Macaca mulatta: one gene and its partners. The protein of the gene in region 5 purifies or fractionates together with the protein of the main gene of each other region. This does not show direct contact. Links are inferred from orthologs where the notes say so. Each region holds a gene or a part of one and is shown on either strand. Other genes may lie near its edges. The genes, in order: COPS3, CDC37, PIP4K2A, FKBP5 and STK11.

Region 1 (4,545 bases), on a different chromosome or scaffold from region 5:
TTGCTGTTTCACTAACTGGCATCTATCCCTTCCAGAGCTAGAGAGGAGTAGGCCAGCAGTTTCACTGCTAACAAATGGACAAGTGATTATCACCGTGTGGAACATCTTGTTAGAAATTAAATACCTGTTTGGCACTTTTATTGGTATCTCACTTTTTGACTTCATGGGCAAGATTTGGCTTTGAGGATCAGTCAAATAAATCCCCAGTAACTGATGCAAATAAATGATATATAGACCTTGAATCTATCTTGGAATCCCCAGTGGTAGTGAAGTTATCTTGAAGAATCAGAGGACAGTTTCCACTGGGATAAAATGAAAACCTGTCAGGCTTTACTTTTTAAAGTACAGTGGCCCAGCCTGGCCAACATGGCAAAACTTCATCTCTACTAAAAGTACAAAAAATTAGCTGGGCATGGTGGCATGCACCTGTAGTCCCAGCTACTTAGGAGGCTGAGGCAGGAGAATCCCCTGAACCCAGCAGGTGGAGGTTGCAGTGAGCAGAGATCGAGCCACTGTACTCCAGCCTGGGCGACACAGCGAGACCCCATCTCAAAAACAAAAGGCAATGTAAATTATATCTCAGTGCAGTTGATGTTGAAAAATGCAAGGGCACCTCAAACACATCATGCTAAGGGAAGCCAGACCACAAAAGATTACATAGTGTATGATTCCATTCATATATCCAGAAAAGGCAAATCCATAAGAGACAAGAACAGATTGGTGGTTTCCAGGGACTGGGAGGAAGAGGAGGGAATGGGGAGGGACTGCTGATGGGCCTAGGACCTCTTTCTGGGGTGATGAAAACGCTTCAGAACTAGAGATGGTGGTTGCACAACATTGTAGAATGCATTCAGTGCCAATTAATTGCTCACTTTAAAATGGTAGGCCAGGCGTGGTGGCCCATGCCTGTAATCCCAGCATTTTGGGAGGCCAGGGCGGGTGGATCACTTGAGGTTAAGAGTTCAAAACCAGCCTGGCCAACATGGTGAAATCCCGTGTCTATTAAAAATAGAGGCCAAGGCGGGTGGATCACTTGAGGTTAAGAGTTCAAAACCAGCCTGGCCAACATGGTGAATCCCATGTCTATTAAAAATACAAAGAAATGGCCAGGCGCGGTGGCTCATGCCTGTAATCCCAGCACTTGGGGAGGCCGAGGTGGGTGGATCACCTGAGGTCGGGAGTTCAAGACCAGCCTGATCAACATGGAGAAACCCCATCTCTACTAAAAATACAAAATTAGCCAGGCGTGGTGGCGCATGCCTGTAACCCCAGCTACTCGGGAGGCTGAGGTAGGAGAATCGCTTGAACCCAGGACGCGGAGGTTGCAGTGAGTGAAGATTACGCCATTGCACTCCAGCCTGGGCAACAAGAGCGAAACTCCATCTCAAAAAAAACCAGAAGACAAAAAAATTAGCCTGGCATGGTGACAGGCACCTATAATTCCAGTTACTTGGGAGGCTGAGGCAGGAGAATTGCTTGAACCCGGGAGGCAGAGGTTGCAGTGAGCTGAGAACGCACCACTGCACTCAGCCTGGGGGAAAGAGCGAGCCTCCATCTCAAATAAATAAATTAAATTAAATGGTTAATTATGTTGTGTGAACCTCACCTCAATAACAAAAATGCAGGGGCAGGGATTTTGTGTGTGTGTATCAGTTTTACACCTCTTAGCATCGATAATGCTGCCTAGCAAATAGTAGGTATTTAATAAATACTTGGATAAACATGGCACTTAAAAATATACAAGTTTATTTATATCCATGTTGCCTTCTATGCTTCTCTCTGATTATACTGGATGACTATTCATATAGCATTCAGATCTAAACTGCTTTCCTGTTTTGTTTTGTTTTTTTTTTTGTAGATAGAAGATGGTGAGATTTTTGCAAGTATTAACCAGAAGGATGGTATGGTCAGTTTCCATGATAACCCTGAAAAATATAATAACCCAGCCATGCTTCATAATATTGATCAGGAGGTAAACATGAATGCCAGGTTTTTATTTTTTTAATTGATGGTCGAGATGTATTTGAAATACTGCTTCTATGTTCCAGGATAATTTTAGTTTTAAGTACAGGTAGTTCCCAGTCTATGAACATCTTAGTTACTAGAAAGTTAATTTCAAAATGGGCTGCTTAAGGACAATCGCTTGAACCCTGGAGATGGGGGTTACAGTGAGCCAAGATTGTGCCACCGCACTCCAGCTTGGGTGACAGAGCAAGACTCTGTCTCAAGAAAAGCAACAACAACAAAATAAACCCAGAATGGGCTGCTTAAAACTCTTCCAGGCTGGGTGTGGTGGCTCACGCCTATAATACCAACACTTTGGGAGGCTCAGGTGGGTGGATCACCTAGGTCAGGAGTTCAAGACCAGCCTGGCCAACATGGCAAAACCCTGTCTCTACTAAAAAAGAATAAAAAATGAGCTGGGTGTTGTGGTTTGTGCCTGTAATCCCAGCTACTCTGGAGGCTGAGGCAGGAAAATCTCTTGGAACCTGGGAGGCAGATGTTGCAGTAAGCTGAGATCGTGCCACTGCACTCCAGCCTAGGCAACAGAGGGAGACTGTCTCAAAAATCAAAACTCTCCCAGATTGTATGGCTATAAATAAATGGTGGGTTAGATATCCCAGCTAGCTTATCAAAACCTCCCTTAACTCTGAAAACACTTAAAGGCCCTAGTATAACTTTATCTATTCACAGCTGCCACTTAAAACATAGAGCCTTGTGTTTTTGCTGAAATGTCTGGAGTTCCAGGTTGGGAGATCAGGAAACATCTCTGGAGCTATGTGAGAAGCAGAGCCGGGGTGGCTGGAGGAGAAGAGCAAAGCCCTCCCTGACAGTCCCCTTCAGGCAACACTGGGCTGCAGCCTGTCTCCTGAGGGCATGCTGTCCTGATTCTGGCGGCTGAAGGGGGCGTTTTGTGGGTGGTCTCTGTTTTTTACCTCTGAGCAGTGAACTGAACTGAATATTAAATCTCAGAAAACTTTTTTTAAAACAATTTGATCGCAAAATGTCACCTGAAATGGTGTCTAGTCTTCATTTTGATCTCAGTGTGAATATACTCCAGTTTCCCTGCAAAAGATACTATGTGTTTGATTATGAGGTTTGCCTAGATCCTGCTGGGTGGGATGTTGGGTATTATATGGTACATGTATTAGCTTTCTGAGTCCAAAATACGCTGGCTCCAAAACCCATGTGGCCCCAGGGGTTTCATGTCAAGAGATTGTGAACCTACAGCGCCCTTGTGAACAGTCGAAGTTAGAAAGGATGCAGCTGACCTAAACCTGCTGCTGACCACCTTCTAATGTGCCTGTCATGCAGATGCTGAAGTGCATAGAGCTGGATGAGCGGCTGAAAGCCATGGACCAGGAGATCACAGTGAACCCTCAGTTTGTACAAAAGGTGATGAGGGTTCCCCTTGTTATAAGAAGTAGGCTGGGTGGAGAAGGAGGGGCGTTGTCACATCAGGCACAGGAATTAAGTTTCAGGTTACTAAATATTTCTTGAAACCCTTACCAGTACGGTCATGGAGAAATACTAGTTGAGAGCATTTTCAAACAATGGCCTGGAAGTACACTTAGGGATGCTTAGGGTGGTTCCTGGAATTGCCTGCCCTTGTTCACAGGGTGGCTTTGTTCTGGGAGGGACAGGGTAACTGGTGTGCTTATTGGGCTGCTGGGGAACCCTCGATAAAAGCAAACATAAATACATAACTTCACTTTCCCTTTACAGAGTATGGGCTCACAAGAAGATGATTCAGGAAACAAACCATCCAGTTATTCTTGAAACTAACATCCATCCTGAGCTAAACAAGAGAAACTACCATCTTGGCCAGTGGCAAGTGTTCGGAGGGCAGCAGAGAGGACCAAGCCTGTGTCACCTGGAGACTAAGAAATTAAGTTTTGTTTTGACATCTTCAGTCCTATGTGCTTTCAGAAAACCATTCTCTCTGCAAAGAAAGGAAACAGATTTGCAAACTTTAAAGTCTGTCGTGGATTTATTTATCCTCAGATTATTGTTATTGCATTAAATCTACCTTTTTGTTTTAAGTTGCTTGAACATTAATGTTTCTTCTGCATCACTTTTTTGTCCTCTGAAAAGTTTTTAATAAGTACATTCATTGTGAACAGAAATAGTTGGATTTTAGGAATTTTTGGAAGATTTGAATCTGAAAGTTGTTTTATTCATTGACAAATTTGTATCTTAAAAAAATATAAAAGTTGTCATCAGTGTCTTCAGAAAATAAAAAGAAAAAAAGTCCAGACAGACAGACATAGTGGCTCCCACCTGTAATATCCTAGCACTTTGGGAAGCCGAGGCAGGATTGCTTGAGGCCAGGAATTCAGACCACCTTGGTGAACATAGTGAGACCCTGTCTCTATTTACGAAAAAAAAAAAGAAAACAAAGGATAGCGTCCCTGAGGCATAAGTTAATTTTTAAAATTAAAATTAACATGCATATTAGTAAGAATATGAGTTGTGGATTATGAGATGCCATTGGTGCTTCACTTTTTTTTGTTGTTGTTGGAGACAGGGTCTCTGTCACTGAGG
Region 2 (5,019 bases), about 9.2 Mb from region 5:
GAGGCTGAGGTGGGTGGATCGCCTGAACTCAGGAGTGTGAGACAAGCCTGGGCAACATGGTGAAACCCTGTCTCTACCAAAAATACAAAAATCAACCAGGAATGGTGGTGTGCACCTATGGTCCCAGCTACTCAGGAGGCAGAAATAGGAGGATCACTTGAGCCCGGAAGGTGGAAGTTGCAGTGAGCCGAGATGGCACCACTGCACTCCAGCCTGGGTGACAAAGCAAGACCCTGTCTCAAAAAAAAAAAAAAAAAAACAAAAAACAAACAAATCAAAATTAAAAAAAAGAAAAAAGAAAGACAGACAAGGTCTTGCTATGTTGCTCAGGCTGGACTTGAACTTCTGGGCTCAAATGATCCTTCTGCCTCAGCCTCCTGAGTAGCTAGGACTATAGGCATGTGTCCCCACATGTGGCTGTGGAAGTTTTTTTTAACCATTCACAAAAATTATTTAAATGATGATGACGGTAATAGCTACTGCCCCAAAAGGATTACAAATATTAAACGAATAAGGTAACCCTTACAACAACCCTATGGGGTGGACATCATTCAGATTCTCAGGTGCTCAGGCACAGAGCAATCAAACAATTCCCTGGCACTCACGCAGCATGTGAGTGATACACAGAGCTGAGATTTGAACCTAGTCAGGCCTGTGCTCAGAACCACAGCGATCTCTCCTTCCCCTCCACAATGCTTCCTTCCAAACCTGCCCCAAGTTTTCCTGCCCAGTCTTAATTTATTCTTACAAAAGTCTCAGGGAGGTGGGGTCATAGTATCCCAGGTTTCATACGGGATCAGGGAGGCCTGAGTCTTGCCACATCAAAGAAAGAAAGAAGCAGCAAGAGGCAGGACTAGGATTGGAACGCAAGCTTGCCTGTCCTTGAACCTGTGCTGGAGACGCTGAAGCCCCCTGCCTCCCTTACGTGCCACTACAACCACCGGGTTCTCAGCGGTAGGACAGGAAAAGCTCCGTGCCAGAGGGAGGAGGGTGTGGCAGGTACACTACGCTGCAGGAGGGGGGCCCTCCCACTCGGCAGGACCAAACCATTCTCCACAGTAGTAAAGATTAACCTCTTTATGTGACAGAAATAGGTCTTCCCAAGAATAGTCTTTGGAGCTTTGTGGAAGTCTTAAATATTTCATAATAAAATGTTACACACGGCAAGAAATAGAAGCGCTAGAACTTTCTTCCCACACTCCAGTGGCTTGCTTGGCAGGTACACTACCCAGGAGACTCAGGATTTAAGGAAGAGGTCTGGAGGTGGGACTGGGAGCTAGATAAAGAGACTAATGCCGTATTCTGGAGTATTCCAAAATGATGGGGAAGGGAACTTCTAGTTGTTTCTTGGATAAATGATGGGGAGTTGTCCTATGAGAGGGTGGGGTAAGAGATCCTCACTAGAAGGTTCTGAAAGGTATATGCCCTTAGTTTAAGAGTACAACATGGCTGGGTGCAGTGGCTCACGCCTGTAATCCCAGCACTCTGGGAGGCCGAGGTGGGTGGATCGCCTGAGGTCAGGAGTTCGAGACCAGCCTGACCAACATGGAGAAACCCCCGTCTCTACTAAAGGTACAAAACTAGCCAGGCGTGGTGCCGCATGCCTGTAATCCCAGCTATTCAGGAGGCTGAGGCAGGAGAATTGCTTGAACCCGGGAAGCAGAGGTTGCAGTGAGCCAAGATTGTGCCACTGAACTCCAGCCTGGGCGACAAGAAGGAAACTCCATCTCAAAAAAAAAAAGAGTACAACAGACACTGATATGTGATTTGGGGTAGCAGGAGGTTAAACCTTTAAGTCTTAGTCACCCCATTGGCTTGTGAGCACTGAGGGGGTGGTAGGACATGGATCACTCAGACTTGGGATTCTGGGGTCTGGATTTGGGGGTTCTGTTGTGGTCCGATAGAAGAAGGGGTAGTGAATTTAGAATCAGACCAGGAGTCCCTGGAAAAGAGCAGGGACAATTTGGGTCACAGAGTAGCGATCAGGTTGGGGATACAAGGTGGGGTGGGTTTGGGGTCCTGGGCTTGAGTTAGGGGAGTTTCCAATGCTGGCCAAGGCTCATACAGGAAGCCAGTCTGGGAGGTGGGTGGTGACAGGGTCTGCAATACCAAGTAGGGGCAGGGGCTCTGGCTGGGCCGGAAGCCACGTGGGCAGGATTTCCTGGTCTAATGGGAAATGGGTCTACCCGAGGCCAAAGGAGAGGCTGGAATGTGAGGCTCTGTCGGGGTGGAGCTGGTAGTTAGATCCAGAGGGGAACCAGGTTCCACAACCGAAGTCCTCGGTGAGACTAAGGATCCTGAAGGGGGACGGCTCTACACTCTAGGAAGGGGGTCCCGGGTGTGGGCAGGGACAGGAATATCAGAGTAGCACAGAGTTCCTTGTACCGTTTAGAAAAGGAGTGGCGACTCCGGATCTGAATGGGAACCCCGGATCAAGATCCCGGAAAGTAGATCCCAGGACAGACCAAAGTATTGGGGGTCCAGACTACGGAGGTGGGGGAGGGCGACGTGAGATCCCAGATAGGGAGTGGATACCCGAATAGGATGAGGGATCATCTAGAAGAATTTGGGGACCAAACTTTGAGGCAGAGTTCTGGGTGTAAATGTTAACTCCGAACAGAATTAGGGAGACTCGTCTAAGGGAGTCCAGACTGAAGAAGTTCTAGGGGGTGAATAGGGAATCCCACGCAAAAATCGGAGCAGGGGGTTGGGGGGAGATCCCGAGCAAGGACTCAGGGTACCAGTGGTACTGGGGTCCTGGAGTTGAATCGAGGCTCCTGAAAGTCCAGACTGAGGGGGTGAGAATCCTAGGTGTGAACAGTGGGGTCCCTAGGCAGTATCGGGGACCACAACTCTGGAGCGGGGTCCGGGAGTGGGGAAAGGGATGGGCGCGCGCGCCTTACCTGATGCCGCCAGCGGAAGAGGCTGGCCGTGTCGATGTTGGGGTGCGTCTCGTCTTCATCATCAGACACCTCAATGTGGTCCCACACGCTGTAGTCCACCATCTTGCCTTGGCGGCCCAGCCCGCTACGGCTCGGTTGGCGGCGACGGCGGCGGCGCTGGAGACTTGGTGCGCGGAGCCCCGCCCCTTCCGCTTCCGCCCGAGTGCGGGGGAAACCCCGCCCATGCCTGACGTCACATCCCTAGTAACCGCGGCAGCGGCACTGGCTACCCATTCTGCCTTAAAGGGCCTTGCGCAAGCGTTCCAGTCCCCTGGAGTTCCCGCAGAGACTCCACCTTATCGGGCGCAGGGGCTCCGCTAGGTCTCCTGGGGGCATACGAGTGGGCACTTCAACTCCTAGCCCCCCTCATCTCCCGCCTCTCCACGGTGGGCGTTTGGGGTGGCAGGGAGAGGACGGTTGATGAGACTAAGAGGACTGTCCCCTCAGCTACGCCGCAGTGACGTCTGCAAGGGGTACGGACACGGCGGGAAGGCCCTCCCCCTGCCCTTCGTAAACGGGGACCTAAGCCTGCTCTGGAGAGGGGCGCCTGACGACTCCTGGGACTTTCTCAGCCCGAGGAGGACTGGACCTGCCCTGGGGGTGTCTAAATCGAGGGTGGTATGGCCCTCCCCTTGAGGGGTTAAACATAGAGGGGAGATTGTGGCTCTGCCTTGGGAGCCTTCTCCTCGTCCTCCAGCTCCGGCCATTAGCAGCAAGGACTCGCGCGCGCGCACATACACACACACACACACACACACACACACACTTTGGAATCACCCGGACCCCCCATAACGGGTCTCGGCGCCCCACCCCGCGTGACCGCTGGGTGTCGCTAGAGTCTAGCCTACGGCGCGTATTCCTGGTCCCGCGCTTGGTGGGGGAATCTTGGAGGGGTGGAAGGGGGCTTTCCTTTTCGTCACAGTCTGGGGTCACGCATAGTCCCTCCCCGTTTGTCTGGGGGTACCCTTCCTCCGCCGGGGCTCTAAGGACTCCATTACTCTAAGCATGCAGGGCCCTGGCCTCACACTTCCACGCATCCCAATCCGCGCTTTTATACCAGGATAATAGGCCGCGTTGCAGTCTCGGGCCAGGATTATTTTAGATTAAAGGGTGCTCCATCGGGGGTCAGGCTGGATAGGAGGAGCTCCAGCCACTCGGGTGAGGGGCGCCTCTTCCCAGTCTCCCCTGGAGCCGACGTCGCAGGCGGTGCCCGGAGAGAGCGAGCGAAAGTCTCCAGATGGGGGGAATTCCCCAGTGCATGGAGGGGGAGGGGCCATCGGACAAAAACGCCCTCCCGCTGCCGCCCCTCCCCCTCGCGCTTCATTCAAACCCGCGAGTGGGCGGCCAGGGGCGGAGGAGTCCCCATCTCCTCCCCCTCCCTCTTCACCTCTACCCTGGCAGTCCAGCACATCAGTGGCTGTCACGGCCCGGGCACGCGCGCGCACGGACCCACACCCCGGCGGCTCTCACAATCGCACACACACATACACACACACCAGCAAACAAAGGGTCTGGACACCCCCGTCCCCTCCCGCCCCCCAGGCCAGAGAGGGCGGGGCATCCCCTCCCCAGCCCCCCCGCAAGGTAAGCTTGGGGCTGCGAGCTGCGGTGGGGAGGGGGACCCGGTGCCATGGTGGGAGGGGGCCAGGACTGTAGGGAGTTCCCCGGCTCCCCAAGAAAGCCATACCCCCACCCCCACCGTATGCCCTTCAGGGCTTCGGCCCGGTCAGCAGCATGGGGGTGTTGGGAGAGAATCCGAGATGTCAGGGATTCCCGGATCGGCGCGGGGGTCTCTTCCTGGCTCTGGAGACTGGAGCTGCCCAGCTTCAGCAAAACAGCGTTCCCGGAGCCTCAGCTTCCAGAACCGGGGATAGGGCGCCGGAAGCTTCCCCATCAACGCCGAGCATTTCCTAATCTGCCAGCACAGCACCTCCAGCCCTGGGGACTGAGGAGAGAGACCCCTAAGTTGCTTTGCACTGTCGCTCTGTCCCCGGTCCCTACCCCACCCCCCATCGGTGCAAACCCTGCTATGTGTCTCCTGCCTGTGATGTGGATGGGGGGGGGTTGCGGGAATTGG
Region 3 (4,545 bases), on a different chromosome or scaffold from region 5:
TTTGGTGAGCAAAACAGAAACAGAACAAAACAGAACTCACATCCTCAGCTGATATGCCATTTGAGATAAAAAAAAAAACCGATGAGCCACAGTTTTTATTATTCAAAAAACAAGAAACTGTTTTTATCCTATCACGAAAATATTTTGGTTTTGTCATGGATCAGTTGCTAAGGTAGGATGTAATATTCAAATAACTGGTGCACCCAATCACCTGGATACGGTGGATTAAGATTTATCTGACTCTAGGGAAGAGGCCACAGGCCTGCCAACTGGGGAGGACGGCAGAGCCAGTCTAGGCAGCAAATCAGATTCCCACCCCACACACACGGCCCAGCTTCACACACCCTTCACATCCCTGAGAGGGAGCGCGCTGGTGGTGATGACAAGAGGACAACCTAAGGGTCACAGAGGACCACATGTGTGTTCCTTAGATTCATGATGCTTTTGACTTAGATAAAAAAGATAACTAAGCAAAAATGTATTAGTATTTTAAAGCATTTCTGGTGTTTGTGTATGGGTGCATATGAACATGTGTTGTATGCCAGTGTGTATGTGCATATGTACAGGTGTGTTGTATATGTATAGTATAGTTTGTGGTTTTGCTGTTTCCCTCAACATCACAGAATTCAAAGGTCCAATTGCCTTATGTTTCATCACTGAGATCACGGTTACCTTTAACATATTCTTGTCCTCAAATCCATTTCTTTGGAGTTTGGAGGATGAGTGCTGCCGGACAGCACCCTCATAACTGGGGTAGTGATTCCTGGTAGATGACAAGGCCAAAGTCAAACCACTTCACATGAAAAAGGGTCCACAGTAATCAAACTTACTTTCATGGCACTTAATTCCATAGACGTCGATGTTCGGATCGAACTCCCCGGGAGCCAGGGGTGGTGAGCTGTTCAGTGTATTCCCGGGGCTATCTGGGGGGGTCCCCACCGGGTGGGTGCCGTCGCTCTCACCCTCCTCCTCCCCGTCGTTCTCCTCACACTCCACTTCCTCCTGTTCAGCTCTCTCCACATCGTGAATTCCCACCAGCAGACTATAGTCCATGAGCTTCAGCTGGGCCAGAAACTGGGGACAGAGGAGACAGGGTCAGTCAGCCACACCTTAAACATAAAAGTCAACGTTTAAAAAAAGGAGACAAGCTCGGGTGACACCCAGAGGGAAGGCTGCGGAGTGGGGCAGCAGAGGCGCCCGGTGCCTCCTTTATGGATGTTCTTACACTCCGGAGTGGAGCCTCACACTTCAGGCTGGCTCAGAGCTCGGGCCATTTTCCCTGGAATGCCACACTGGAGGCGGAGAGGCGTGGATCTATCACAGGGTGGCTGGGTTTCACCAGAGAGCAGGAAGCATGACCAGTGAGAGATGCAGAGAGAGACTGGGAGGGAGAGCAAGTTCCTTCCAACAATTAAGACAGGCTAAGGGGGAAACCCAGGCACCTCCCAAGTAGCTTCCAGCGGAGTCTCTTGCTGTGGTTCGGGAAAGCACCTTGGAATTCAGCACACTCTGCGGCTGCGGAAGCGATCGTTACGCTGTTGCAAATAAGTAAAAGCAAAGGCACTGTGTCCACCTCTGGTGAGCAATGCAGTCCTGTCCGGGTCAACAAGGTGCTTTCCACCAGGCCCCACACACCCAGGATTCCTGTCCTCCCTCTCCTCCTCCAGCCGCGGCTACAACATAATGTGGGGGCAAGACCCAGCTCTGTGTGTTTGGCTACTCCTGTCTGCCCAGTTCTTTTTTGACTTTTCAGATCACGATTTCTTTTTGTTTCCCTTTTCTGATTTGAGACCTTCAGCACAACGTTCCAATAATGCCATAAAATGTGGACGGTTATGCTGACTGAAAACAGTGGCAGCCCATCTGTGGGCTGGACCCAACTGGCTCCCCTGGCCCCGTGGCTGGCTGGCTCTGCACAGGGTCCTGTTCCACTGTGACCTTGGGCTCGGGGTCCAAGAAGGTTCACGGTCCTGGCTCTGGAAGGACTCAGCGCCACCTCACTAGGGAATGCAGAGTGGCTGAGCAGCCTCTGGGCTACGCTGATAGAATTTAGGAAGCAAATGTCCTCATGCAAAGGGCAAGCAGAGAAAATCACAGGTCTTGAAGTTCTGGCTAAAAATGAAATCAATTTGTTGAGCCCCGCAGAGCCATTTCTCCTCAGCCTGCTGGGAAGGAGTTTTGTCTCGAAACTGAATGAGAAGCCCTGATTCCTTACAGATGAGGAGAGGACCCCTGGGCACAGGTCTGTCCCACTCTCCAGCTGGTTCCCAGTGCCTGCAATTCTCCATCAGCCAGCATCCCGCTCAGCCCCGCAAACTGGCCAGAGCTCCCACTTTGCAGCCTTCCCACCAGGAATCCCCCGGGGCCAGCTACATCTTCCCCATTTGTTCCGAGCTCAGAAAATAGAAATTATACAAATCTTACACTCAAATATTTAAGCAAAGTGGGAGAAACCTGTTTGTTTAAAAAGAGAGGCAAACCCCTCGTGGAAACAGCATGGGGCTCCTGCGTTCAGCTTTCTGGGGCCCAGAGAGGAGAGGAAGCCACCGCTCATCCCCCTGGCCTTTCCCCAAACTCCCCCATTACAGTAAACATGAGAACCAACTTTCCACTTGCACCTCCCTCTGCCAGATTCCTTTCCAGCATCCTGCTCTAGAATCTCGGCAGCTGCCAGGCTGTGGGGAGAAATCTGCAGTGGTGGAAGGCTCACTTGAGTCCTCCACCAGCGCGGTGAAGCCAGCCAGGGAGCTGGGTCTCGGGTACAGCTCCGCTGTATATGGGCCTGTGGATTGGAAGAGAACTGGGCACTCCAGGGTATAGAGACAGGTGACAAGATCCAAGGCAGGGGGCAGGCTCTCCGTGTGAGACAGCAGCCAGATTCAGCAGCTGGACGAGAGTGCAAGGATTCAAATCCAAGGAGGGGTGAATTCAGGGCCCGTTCTGAGCCCGCACTCTCTGCTCTGTATCAGCTACTTCTGGAGGCTGCCTGAAAGCAGCTTTCCCCTCTCCTTTCGCAACCCTAGGAGGAAGGTAATGAGTTAAAATCAGCTGGCATCGGAGGAGGCCCTCCACACGTGACTCGGCGCTGTGGGTCTCTGGACTACCGGTTAGGTGGTCAGCAGCAGCACGCCTGGCACCGCTGTGATCATGGAACCTGCTTCCCCGTCCCTGTCAGAATGCCCTGCGGGCCTGGGGTTTCAGAAGCCTATTTGGAAAATACTGCAGCGTAAGTACCCAGTCTTCTCCAACGCTTGAGGGGTGTGTGTGGGGGGCACTCATGGTGGGCCCACTTCTCCCTGCCCTGTTGTTCCAAGGCCTCTGGGCTCCTGGAGGACTAGGCCAGGGTCTCCTTCGCCACCTCCGCTGCCCCTCCCAAGCCTAGCATGGTGCCTGGCTCTGCTCCCTGGATCTACGGCTTCCCTGGCCTCCCTCCCTACACCTGGAAGCCTCTCTGGAGCCAGGCCAGGCCTTGCTCAGCTTGAGCAGTGACAGGGAAGAGGCCCCCCCTCCTGTCCATCCCTGCTCCCTCTGGGTGCTTGGAAGGTCCCTGTGAAGTGGCAAAGGCTGACTGGTGCCTCAACCTCCCCTCCAGTCCTCTGCAAAGGGCACAAGTTTTCAAAATGTGAACCTGATCACATCCTGTTCTGCTTAAGACATTTCCATAGTGCCACGTTTCTCACGGGGCACAAACAAAACTCACATGGTCCAGAAGGCCTGGATAGCTTGGCCCCATCCACATCTGGAGCCCACTTGAGCCCTGCTCTGCCCGCTTCCTGGGCTTCTTCCCTGTGGGCAGGTACTTCCTCCTGTGCCTTCAGGCCTAGCGGCAGGGCACCACACAGAGCAGCACAGCCCCGGAGTCTGGGTGTTTAGGGCACCGTACACTCCCTCCCCAGAGGCACATGGCCTCGTTGCACATTCACTTTGCTGGAGTATTTGAAAACTTCTCTCTTTCCCAAGCAAGGCAGCCTCTCAAAAGGGGCTCTAAAGTTTTGGCTTTCACTGCATTCCCGACTCCCAGCAGGCAGAGGGCTCAGGAAAGTATGCGGCACTTGTTGGACAAGAGAATAGGCTGCCTGCTACTTTATCCCTATCTGTCCCCCCAGCTCTCCCTAACTGTCCCCAACCTGCTTCCACCAGGAAATAACTACTAAAGGCAAATACAAACAACAAAGCAACAACAGAAAACCTTTCTGAGGCTGCATGAGGCAACATCTCTCGGAAGGAAGCGCAAGGCGACCATTTAATACGCTTCCCTTAAGAGGAAGGTCTACGGGCTGACCTTCAAGTGTGTTTTAGTTACAGAAGTCGGGGCTGTCTGCGATTAATTTGCCAAAGGGCAGGGAGGGAAGGGGACAACTGGGATTGAAAAGCCGCACTCACCATGGTGAGCCTTCAGGGCTCAGCCTCCCCTGGCACCCCATCTGGGCTCCTCGCCACACTGGGCAGCCCAGAGTAATTTTCCTGGGCCTCAGGCCTGTGGTCAGACTGCTTATTCTCATCTTCCAGTGAGGAAGAAATAAAGGTGCAGTCAACTCCTAGCAC
Region 4 (4,545 bases), on a different chromosome or scaffold from region 5:
AAGCCATTTTATAAAGACAGTTGGGCAATAACTATCAAATTTAAAATGCATATCACCTTTGCACTTCCAGGAATTTACCCTCCAAATATACTTATGCAAAGTAGGCAAACATAAATGGACAAGTAGTCTCATTAGATTATTGTTGGTAATATATGCATCAATAGGAGATTGTTGTATTATACACCCAATAATGTTTTTCCTTTATCAAATACATATTATGTGCCAGGCACCATGCCGTGCATTTGATGTGTTTTGTCTAATAATTCTTAAAACAACTGAAAACATATGGCAAGTACTGTTATTATCTACATTTTGCAGGTGAGGAGACTGCAGCACAGAGATTAAGTAACTTGCACAAGTTTACACAGATAGTAAAAGGCAAACTTGGTATTTAAATCCAGGTAGTCTGAGGTTAGAGTATGCTGCATTTTTGACCTCTAAAATGTACATCCTCCTTTCTACTGTTGGAGAAAGAGGATGAAGATATATATTAAATGAAAAAGTAGTTTAGAACTGAATGTCTAGGTCACTGTCATTTGTGTTTTAAATTTTTTTAAAAAGGTACAGCACACAGTAGGATACCAAAGAAACAAAACAGTGACTTATAAGGAACAAATGGATGGCCTTTCTGCTTTGACTTTCCATCTCTTTCATGGGTGTTTTAATAATAGGCATGTATTACTTGAATAATTTTTTTTTTTTTTTTGTAAGAGACAGGGTCTCGCTGTGTCACCTAGGCTGGAGTGCAGTGACATAATCATTGCTCACTGTAGCCTCTTACTCGTGGGCTCAAGCTATTCTCCTGTCTTAACCTCCAAAGTATCTGGAACTACAAGCATGTGCCACCATGCTGCACTAATTTTTTAAATTTTTGTAGAGAAGGAGTTTCACTGTGTTGCCCTGGCCGGTCTTAAAACTCTTGGGCTCAAGTGGATGCTCCCACTTGGCCTCCCAAAATGCTGAGATTACAGGTATGAGCCACTGTTCCTGGCCACTTAACATATATTTTTAACTGAAATAAATGTAGCTTACATTTGGAAAAGTTGTAATATTTAATGAAGATTAAGCTAAAATCATGAATGACAAATGGTTTATCCATCCCTGCTTACATACGGTTATGTAGGGTTTCACTTGTCCTAATATCCTACCACCAGCTCACTTCAAATTCACTTCCTCTGGGGTTCATCTCTTATCTGATCCCACTTTGAATACTTACATTTTTGTTTTTGTTTTTTGAGACAGGACAGGGTCTCACTCTGCTGCCCAGGCTGGAGTGCAGTGGCATGATCTCAGCTCACTGAAACCTCGACCTCCTGGGCTCAAGCAATCCTCCCTCTTCAGCCTCCTGAGTAGCTGGCAAGCACCACCACGCCTGGCTCATTTTTTCAATATTTTTTTGTGGAGATGGGGTTTCACCATGTTGCCTGGGCTGGTCTCAAACTCCTGAGCTCAAGAGATCTGCCCACCTTGGCCTCCCAAAGTGCTGGGATTACAGGCGTGAGCCAACGTGCCCAACCCCCAGATACTTAATGTTTTTGATTAACAAAGTACCTCATTTGTAATGTAGCCTTTTTTTTTTTTTTTTTTTTTTTTTTGGGACAGTGTCTTGCCGTGTTGCCCAGGCTGGAGTGCAGTGGCATGATCTCTACTCACTGCAACCTCTGCCTTCCAGGTTCAAGTGATTCTCCTCCCTCAGCCTCCCAAGTAGTTGGGATTACAGGCACATACCACCATGCCTGGCTAATTTTTGTATTTTTAGTAGAGACGGGGTTTCACCATGTTGGCCAGGCTGGTCTTGAACTCCTGGCCTCAAGTGATCCACCCGCCTTGGCCTCCTAAAGTGCCAGGATTACAGGCGTGAGCCACTATGCCCCACCAAAATGTAATTAGCCTTTTAAATTGCCTGAATTTTCTATTGTTTCCCAAAGGACTTGATACTGCTTACAGTAAGATAATGATGCACATCATAGGAACTGTAAACATTGAGATTACAATTATATAGCCTAATATAGTCCTACAATTGAGCAGTAAATTTAACTTAGTTTCCTGGAAGTAGGCAAAAAATAAAACATTTTAAGTTCTGTAGTTGTGGTTTGACAAAAAGACACATACGTTTTTGTTTAAAGAAACCTTTTTCTGATTCTAAATTTCGAGAAGAAATGTGTTTCATAGACCCTTTTATGCAATTTATATTGTTCTGGTTACTTCTTGTTTTGTTTTGTTTTGTTTTTGTCTACCCAACTAAATTACAAGCTTCCTTAGGACAAACTCTATTTTTCAATACTATTTTTGTTCTATCTTTGCCTAGAAAATGTGTGCTTATTATAGTTGAAATGATAAATTAAGCAACAGTTGCAACACAGCCATATTTCATGGATAATGTTACCACCAGTTTTCAAAGACTTAATTTTTGAGTAGTTTAGGAATTTATACTACTTTCATCCCTTTCAGCAGGGAATCCTTTTTGAGACAGGTCTCACTGTCACCCAGCCTAGAGTGCAGTGGCATAATCTTGACTCACTGAAGCCTCAACCTCCTGGGCTCCCGGGCTTAAGCAGTCCTCCCACCACAGCCTCTGGAGTAGCTGGGACTATAGGTGTGCACCACTATACCCAGCTGTGTTCCTTGGGGGTTTTTTTTGTTGTTTTTTTTTAAGAGATGAGGTCTTGCTATGTTGCCCAGGCTGGTCTCAAACTCCTGGACTCAAGCGATCCTCCCACATCAGCCTCCCAAAGTGCTGGGCCGATCAACAGGGAATCTTTTATGATAGCCTTGAAATAAATAAATATTTATTTATTTGTATGTAGCACTCGGTCATCTTGTAGCCCATACTTTCTAGCTGAATATGTAGTATGAAAAACTGGAAATTTGAACTTTTGTTTAATGAAAGTTAAATATTTTTAAATAGGGCTGATAGCTTTCAACTACCTTTTCCTTTCTCTTAGGCCAAGTTATCAAGGCATGGGACATTGGGGTGGCTACCATGAAGAAAGGAGAGATATGCCATTTACTGTGCAAACCAGAATATGCATATGGCTCAGCTGGCAGTCTCCCTAAAATTCCCTCGAATGCAACTCTCTTTTTTGAGGCAAGTATGTGTGTGATGTTGCCTTGTCAGCATCTGCTCTACAATAGGAATGGCTTTGAAGCAACAGGCAGTGGGAAAAGGAGCTATAGAGAATCACATCCAACTTACTTATTTTGGAGCATGGCTTCTTGGATTGTTTCCCACAAACCCAAGGGTGCACGTGCCAGTGCTTTTTGAGAAACGTATTTCCACCACAAAAAGGTCATATCCAAATACGCAAAAGACACTACACTTAGAAATAAAGAATCTGGTCCATGGTGTGAGTGTGACATACTCAAAATTGACCAGAATGCAGGATGGAAATGTTGGCAATAAATGTTGAAATATGCCTATGTCAAGTTGCAGGGTATTTTCATATTATAAAGGTTTATATGTCACAGATCTCACTTCTCTAGAAGTGTTTGATGGTGATAAAACATTATTCAACCTGTGTTGAAATTACATATATTTGGCAAAACTTGATTTTTAAGAACTACCCCAGCTAGGTAAAATATACCTTTAATCAGTCATAGGCCACATTCATGAAATTTATGTTTACATTTTGAGAAGGGAACTCCATAAATCCAGGGTGGGAAAGTTGTGGCCTCAGACAAACTGTTCTACACCAGCACCTTGTAAAGCTCTGGGTTTTTGCCCACAGGGTAGTGTTCCTAGTATTTCCTGTCTCTGCACCGCAGTCCCTTAGGATATAGTCCTAGACATTATCATTATGTGAAATTCTTTCCAAGTATGGAAAAGTATAGTGGGTTTTTTTTTTTTTTTTTTTGCTACTTTTCCAATAATTAAGATGCATAAATGAATGTATACATTTTGAAACAGCTTTATTTTGTAAAATGAAATAATTGGTTGCCCTTGCCTTCACATATGTTAAATTGGCTTTATTTGGTCTTTTCTCATCTGAATTCCTTTTTTCTTTCTAGATTGAGCTCCTTGATTTCAAAGGAGAGGACTTATTTGAAGATGGAGGCATTATCCGGAGAACCAAACGGAAAGGAGAGGGATATTCAAATCCAAACGAAGGAGCAACAGTAGAAAGTAAGTATTAAAGTAAGAGGGAACTAGTCCTTAAAAGTTGGACCATTTATGTGGACGAAATGGAGACTTAAAAAAAATATGTTTATGGAAATGAACATATCGGCTGGGCGTGGTGACTCACGCCTTTAATCCCAGCACTTTGGGAGGTGGAGGCGGGCGGATTGCCTGAGCTCAGGAGTTTGAGACCAGCCTGGCCAGCATGGCGAAACCCCATCTCTACTAAAAATACAAAAAACTAGCCAGACGTGGTGGTGCATGCCTGTAATCCCAGCTCCTTGGGAGACTGATGCACAAGAATCACTTGAACCGGGGAGGTGGGGGTTGCAGTGAGCCAAGATGGTGCTACTGCACTCCAGCCTGGGTGACAGAGCGAGACTCTGCCTCAGAAAAAAAAAAAGTATTGAATATATCTCAAAGATAGT
Region 5 (4,545 bases):
CTCTCGCCAGCGTTCAGGGCCAGCTGTGCCTTTCCCGGTGTGTCTCTATGCCTAGGGCAGAGACGGATGCACGTCCTCACTCAGACCCCAGCTCAGACAAGGCCTGTCTGGCCACTAACAGGGCACTGCCCAGAGACCCCACTTGGGCCCTGAGAACTGCGGGCGCTGCACGGGGTCTGGCCCCAGCCCAGCACCCCCACCATGCCCTGCTCTGGTGCCCACTCAACCAGCTGCACACGTGGCCAGCCTCCCTGTGGTCTTGGCCCCACTGCCCCCAGGGGCCGCTCACCTGTGCTGCCGGATCTGCCGGATGGAGAACCTCTTGGCCGGCTCGTACTCAAGCATCCCTGAGGAGAAGCCGGCGAGGAGCCAGTCAGCCAGGCACAGGCCCGAGACCCCACCAATCATCCCCACCTGACCAGCCTCTGTTGTCAGGCCCCAGGTGATACCTGGATGCTCCCAAGGGGGGCCCCCTTGAGATGGCCTCCCTGACAGAGGCGACTCCAGGGGACAGGCCAGGGACAGCCTCTGCGTGCCTGCCTGGGAGACAGGGCTGGGCTGGACAGGCAGGGCAGTTCCATTCTCCCAAGGCCACTGGGCAGACGGACAGACGGCCAGTGCCACCTGCTGCCCACACACAGGAAGTGCAGCAGGACGAGCCTGACACAGGCCAGGGAGCCCCCGAGGGCGGGGCTGGGGGAGGCGCAGGGCAGCACTGCCCTCAGGGGTGGGAGTTGAAAGGTGAACAGGGCCCAGAAGCAGGGTGGAGCTGAGGGACCCACAAACCAGGCCCTAGTGGGAGGCCGGCCTCTCCGCTCAGTCCTCTCAGTGCCTGCAGGGGTCTCAGGGCCAATAGCCCCCCACCTAACACCCCCCACCCTGCATTTCTGCACAAAAGCCCCGCCTCCCTGGGGCTGTGGGCAGAGGGACGAGGCCCCCACCTTTCAGCAGGTCGGAGAGCGGGGGGCCACAGTCACCCGGGATGGCGTAGCTCCCCTTCCCAATGTTCTCAAACAGCTTGTAGATGTTGTCCCCTTCGAAGGGGTACAGACCCGTGGTGATGTTGTAGCTTCATTCGAGGGGAGGGAAGAAAGGTGTGGTCAGTCAAGGTGGTCGACGCCCCGGGAGCCCCACCTCTGCCCCAGGGACGGAGCCCTCGCGTGGCTGCTGGACCACAGGCCCTGCGGACTCAAGGACACCTCTGTCTTCACCGCCTCCCACTAGTGGAAGCCATGGGGCAAGAGAGGAGCGTCCTCTGGACCCACCCGGGGAGGGGCCTGGAGCCACTCTCACCCGCCCAGCTTTCCTGTGGGGCTCTGAGAGGAGGATTGGTTGTGACACTCTGTGAAGATCCCTGACAGGCTAGGCTGCATGTCACATGGGTGAACCACCATCTGCCGTGTGAGCTACGTCTCCATAAAGTAAGCACCCCCAGTGGCTGTGGTCAGCGAGGGTCTAGGCTGGTGGCTACGCCCTGCACCCACAGGCCAGAAGCTGCCCAAGATGCAGAGGCCCCTCCGGGCTGTGCGTGTGGCGAGTGCCGGGGCGGGGCCGGGGCACTTACAGGGTGACCCCAGCTGACCAGATGTCCACCTTGAAGCCGGAGAAGGTGTCCAGGCCGTTGGCAATCTCGGGTGGCTGGAAAGCCGGGGAGCCCTGGCTGGTCCGGCAGGTGTCGTCCGCCGCGAACGGGTGCAGTGCCTGTGGCAGTGCCGTGCAGCCCTCAGGGAGTGCCCGGGAGGGGGCGCCCCAGGGCCCCCCCTAGCACGTGCCTACCTCGGCCACGCCCAGGTCGGAAATTTTGAGGGTGCCCCCGGTGGTGAGCAGCAGGTTCCCGGGCTTGATGTCCTTGTGCACGATGCCCTGGCTGTGCAGGTACTCCAGGCCGTCAATCAGCTGACAGAAGTACCTGCGGGCAGCACACACCTGTCTTGGGACCGAGGCCTCCCTGTTCCTCACAGGGGTCCCCTTTGCAGCCGCCTGGGAGCCTCCCAACCACCACAGGCCCAGCTGGGGAGTCACGGAGGTCCAGGCACACAGGACAGAGGAAAAGCTGGGTCCAGTAGGGAGCCAGGCCTGCGCCTGCAGTGACCACCCTCATCCGGCCGAGTCACGTCTGGCAGGGCCCCGGATGTCCACAGGTCTCATTTCCCTGTGGGCCACAGGCCGGCTGCACCCCAAAGGCTTGCTGAAACAGCAGGCCCCTCCCTGCCCCTGCAGTCCTGCAGCAGCAAGGGGCCCTGACTCTGCAGCCAACAGATCTGTACCAGGAGGTCCGGTCGGGGCAGGTGGCTGCTGGGACGGGATGGGGTGAGCTGCCGGCCTCAGGCAGCAGGCCCAGCAAAGATGGAGGCAGGAGGTTGACAGCAGCCCTGCCCGTGGATACCACACACAGGAGTCCCCAAAACTGTTTTTAAAAACTTGGGCCTTCACAGGGCGGGGCGTGGTGGCTCACGCCTGTAATCCCAGCACTTTGGGAGGCCAAGGCGGGTGGACCATGAGGTCAGGAGATCGAGACCATCCTGGCTAACACGGTGAAACCCCATCTCTACTAAAAATACAAAAAATTAGCCAGTCGTGGTGGCGGGCACCATGGTCCCAGCTACTCGGGAGGCTGAGGCAGGTGAATGGTGTGAACCAGGGAGGCGGAGCTGGCAGTGAGCAGAGATCGCACCACTGCACTCCAGTCTGGGCGACAGAGTGAGACTCCGTCTCAAAAAAAAAAAAAAAAAAAAAGGCCGGGCGCGGTGGCTCAAGCCTGTAATCCCAGCACTTTGGGAGGCCGAGACGGGCGGATCACAAGGTCAGGAGATCGAGACCATCCTGGCTAACACGGTGAAACCCCGTCTCTACTAAAAAATACAAAAAAACTAGCCGGGCGAGGTGGCGGGCGCCTGTAGTCCCAGCTACTCAGGAGGCTGAGGTAGGAGAATGGCGTAAACCTGGGAGGCGGAGCTTGCAGTGGGCTGAGATCCGGCCACTGCACTCCAGCCTGGGCGACAGAGCGCGAGACTCCGTCTCAAAAAAAATAAAACAAAAAAAATAAAAAACTTGGGCCTTCATGTCAATGAAGATCAGGACAAGCCGTGTGGCCACAGGGAAAGGAGCCTGCCCTGCCCGGCCCCCAGCCCCTGCTTCACCCCAGCCCCTGCCCCGCGCACACACCCGTGGGCCTGGCACACCGGGAAACGCTTCTCTGGCACGCTGTCCAGCATCTCCTGCATGCCACACACGCAGTACTCCATCACCATATACGTGGGATGCTAAGGACACACAGCTCAGGGGGCGGCCCCACTCACAGGCCCGGAGAGCACAGGGGCCAGAGAAGGGGTTCTGGAGGGACCCTCCGCAACCACTCTGCCCCTCCTCGGACCAGGGCCCACCCTGCCCCTCCTCGGACCAGGGCCCACCCTGCCCTCACACCCCTCTGAAAAGGCCCCAGCGTCTGGGAGGAAGGAGCCTCCATGGGAGTGGAGGACAGGGCTGACTCTTGGGGCAGTGTTCCTGCGGGACTCACGTCCCCCACCCCGCCCATGGGCGGGGGATGATACCTCCTGGACGCCCCCACAAGCAGGCTCGGGTCCACACAGGATGGGGCCCACGGCCCCTGACTGCGTGACTCTGAACACAGCCCCAGCCTCAGGACCACTTCTGCTCTTGCTCTGGGCACAGGGCCTCAAGCAAAGTCCCCGTAGGGAAGCTGTGCCCGTAAGACCCATGGGGGGAGTCTACCGATGACACAAGGACACGCTCAGCCACGACCAAAATGGCCCACAACATTCAGCCTGCGTGGCCTGCCTCAGGCAGACCCTGGCCACATCCCGGTTAGCCTTGGAGAAGACTATGAGAAAATAGGGTCTTGACACCCCATGGCTCCAGCACACAGGACACAGGACACAGGGGCCGGGGCTCGGGGCCCGTTTCAGCAGCTGCTCAGCTGCTGCCACAATGGTTGACTTCCAGGAAGCCAGGGAAGGCCACTGCCTTTGTGTGCCAGTCTCCTTCAAGTAGACAGGAAGGGGAGCAGGCCTCGGGGCAGGCGGACCCAGGGCCCCAGCCCCTCCCACGGAGGCCCCGCGGCCCCAACACCAGAAAGGATATATTTTCTGCTTCTCTTCGTTGTATAACACGTCCACCAGCTGGATGACATTTTTGTGCCGTAACCTCCTCAGTAGTTGAATTTCCCTGGGACAGAGAGGACAGGGGGGTGTCAGCCAACCTCAATGTCAGGACGATGACCCGGATCCCTGGAGTTGGGCCTCCCCATCTCCCCATGGAGGTGGCGCACCTCCGCCCTTCCCTGGAGAGAAGCCGTGGGTTCACAGTGCTGGGGCAGGGCCCTGCAGGGGCCACATGTCCAGGTTCGGGGCGGTAGAGGGTGGGAGCACAGCACCCTCCAGTCTGTCACCAGCTAGTGAGAGCTTTGGAGGACACAGTTAGGACACTTTTTTTTTTTTTTTTTTGACACGGAGTCTTGGTCTGTCACTAGCTGGAGCACAGTAGCCCAATCTCAGCTCGCTGCAACCTCTGCCTCCCGGGTTCAAG

What was found.
Region 1: the proteins of STK11 (region 5) and COPS3 purify together in Homo sapiens (affinity purification with mass spectrometry; 5 studies listed by BioGRID and IntAct, with this or other methods). This does not show direct contact. The link is inferred for Macaca mulatta from reciprocal best matches to the Homo sapiens genes STK11 and COPS3.
Region 2: the proteins of STK11 (region 5) and CDC37 purify together in Homo sapiens (affinity purification with mass spectrometry; 8 studies listed by BioGRID and IntAct, with this or other methods). This does not show direct contact. The link is inferred for Macaca mulatta from reciprocal best matches to the Homo sapiens genes STK11 and CDC37.
Region 3: the proteins of STK11 (region 5) and PIP4K2A purify together in Homo sapiens (affinity purification with mass spectrometry; 3 studies listed by BioGRID and IntAct, counting the BioPlex papers as one, with this or other methods). This does not show direct contact. The link is inferred for Macaca mulatta from reciprocal best matches to the Homo sapiens genes STK11 and PIP4K2A.
Region 4: the proteins of STK11 (region 5) and FKBP5 purify together in Homo sapiens (affinity purification with mass spectrometry; 8 studies listed by BioGRID and IntAct, counting the BioPlex papers as one, with this or other methods). This does not show direct contact. The link is inferred for Macaca mulatta from reciprocal best matches to the Homo sapiens genes STK11 and FKBP5.

The regions. Positions count from the first base shown.
Region 1 is NC_133421.1:18,800,375-18,804,919, reverse strand, and holds the end of COPS3 (COP9 signalosome complex subunit 3), read left to right. Parts: intron 1-1,858; coding exon 1,859-1,972; intron 1,973-3,315; coding exon 3,316-3,396; intron 3,397-3,726; coding exon 3,727-3,780; 3' UTR 3,781-4,043; downstream 4,044-4,545. UniProt on the Homo sapiens protein: Component of the COP9 signalosome complex (CSN), a complex involved in various cellular and developmental processes.
Region 2 is NC_133424.1:11,129,510-11,134,528, forward strand, and holds the start of CDC37 (hsp90 co-chaperone Cdc37), read right to left. Parts: upstream 3,070-5,019; 5' UTR 3,006-3,069; coding exon 2,904-3,005; intron 1,722-2,903; exon of another isoform or gene 1,499-1,721; intron 10-1,498; exon of another isoform or gene 1-9. UniProt on the Homo sapiens protein: Co-chaperone that binds to numerous kinases and promotes their interaction with the Hsp90 complex, resulting in stabilization and promotion of their activity. Inhibits HSP90AA1 ATPase activity.
Region 3 is NC_133414.1:23,998,715-24,003,259, forward strand, and holds part of PIP4K2A (phosphatidylinositol 5-phosphate 4-kinase type-2 alpha), read right to left. Parts: exon of another isoform or gene 2,002-4,545; intron 1,971-2,001; exon of another isoform or gene 1,777-1,970; intron 1,075-1,776; coding exon 831-1,074; intron 1-830. UniProt on the Homo sapiens protein: Catalyzes the phosphorylation of phosphatidylinositol 5-phosphate (PtdIns5P) on the fourth hydroxyl of the myo-inositol ring, to form phosphatidylinositol 4,5-bisphosphate (PtdIns(4,5)P2). Has both ATP- and GTP-dependent kinase activities.
Region 4 is NC_133409.1:146,648,825-146,653,369, forward strand, and holds part of FKBP5 (peptidyl-prolyl cis-trans isomerase FKBP5), read left to right. Parts: intron 1-2,945; coding exon 2,946-3,088; intron 3,089-4,008; coding exon 4,009-4,123; intron 4,124-4,545. UniProt on the Homo sapiens protein: Immunophilin protein with PPIase and co-chaperone activities. Component of unligated steroid receptors heterocomplexes through interaction with heat-shock protein 90 (HSP90).
Region 5 is NC_133424.1:1,889,641-1,894,185, reverse strand, and holds part of STK11 (serine/threonine-protein kinase STK11), read right to left. Parts: intron 4,186-4,545; coding exon 4,102-4,185; intron 3,256-4,101; coding exon 3,166-3,255; intron 1,910-3,165; coding exon 1,777-1,909; intron 1,702-1,776; coding exon 1,565-1,701; intron 1,070-1,564; coding exon 942-1,069; intron 348-941; coding exon 290-347; intron 1-289. UniProt on the Homo sapiens protein: Tumor suppressor serine/threonine-protein kinase that controls the activity of AMP-activated protein kinase (AMPK) family members, thereby playing a role in various processes such as cell metabolism, cell polarity, apoptosis and DNA damage response.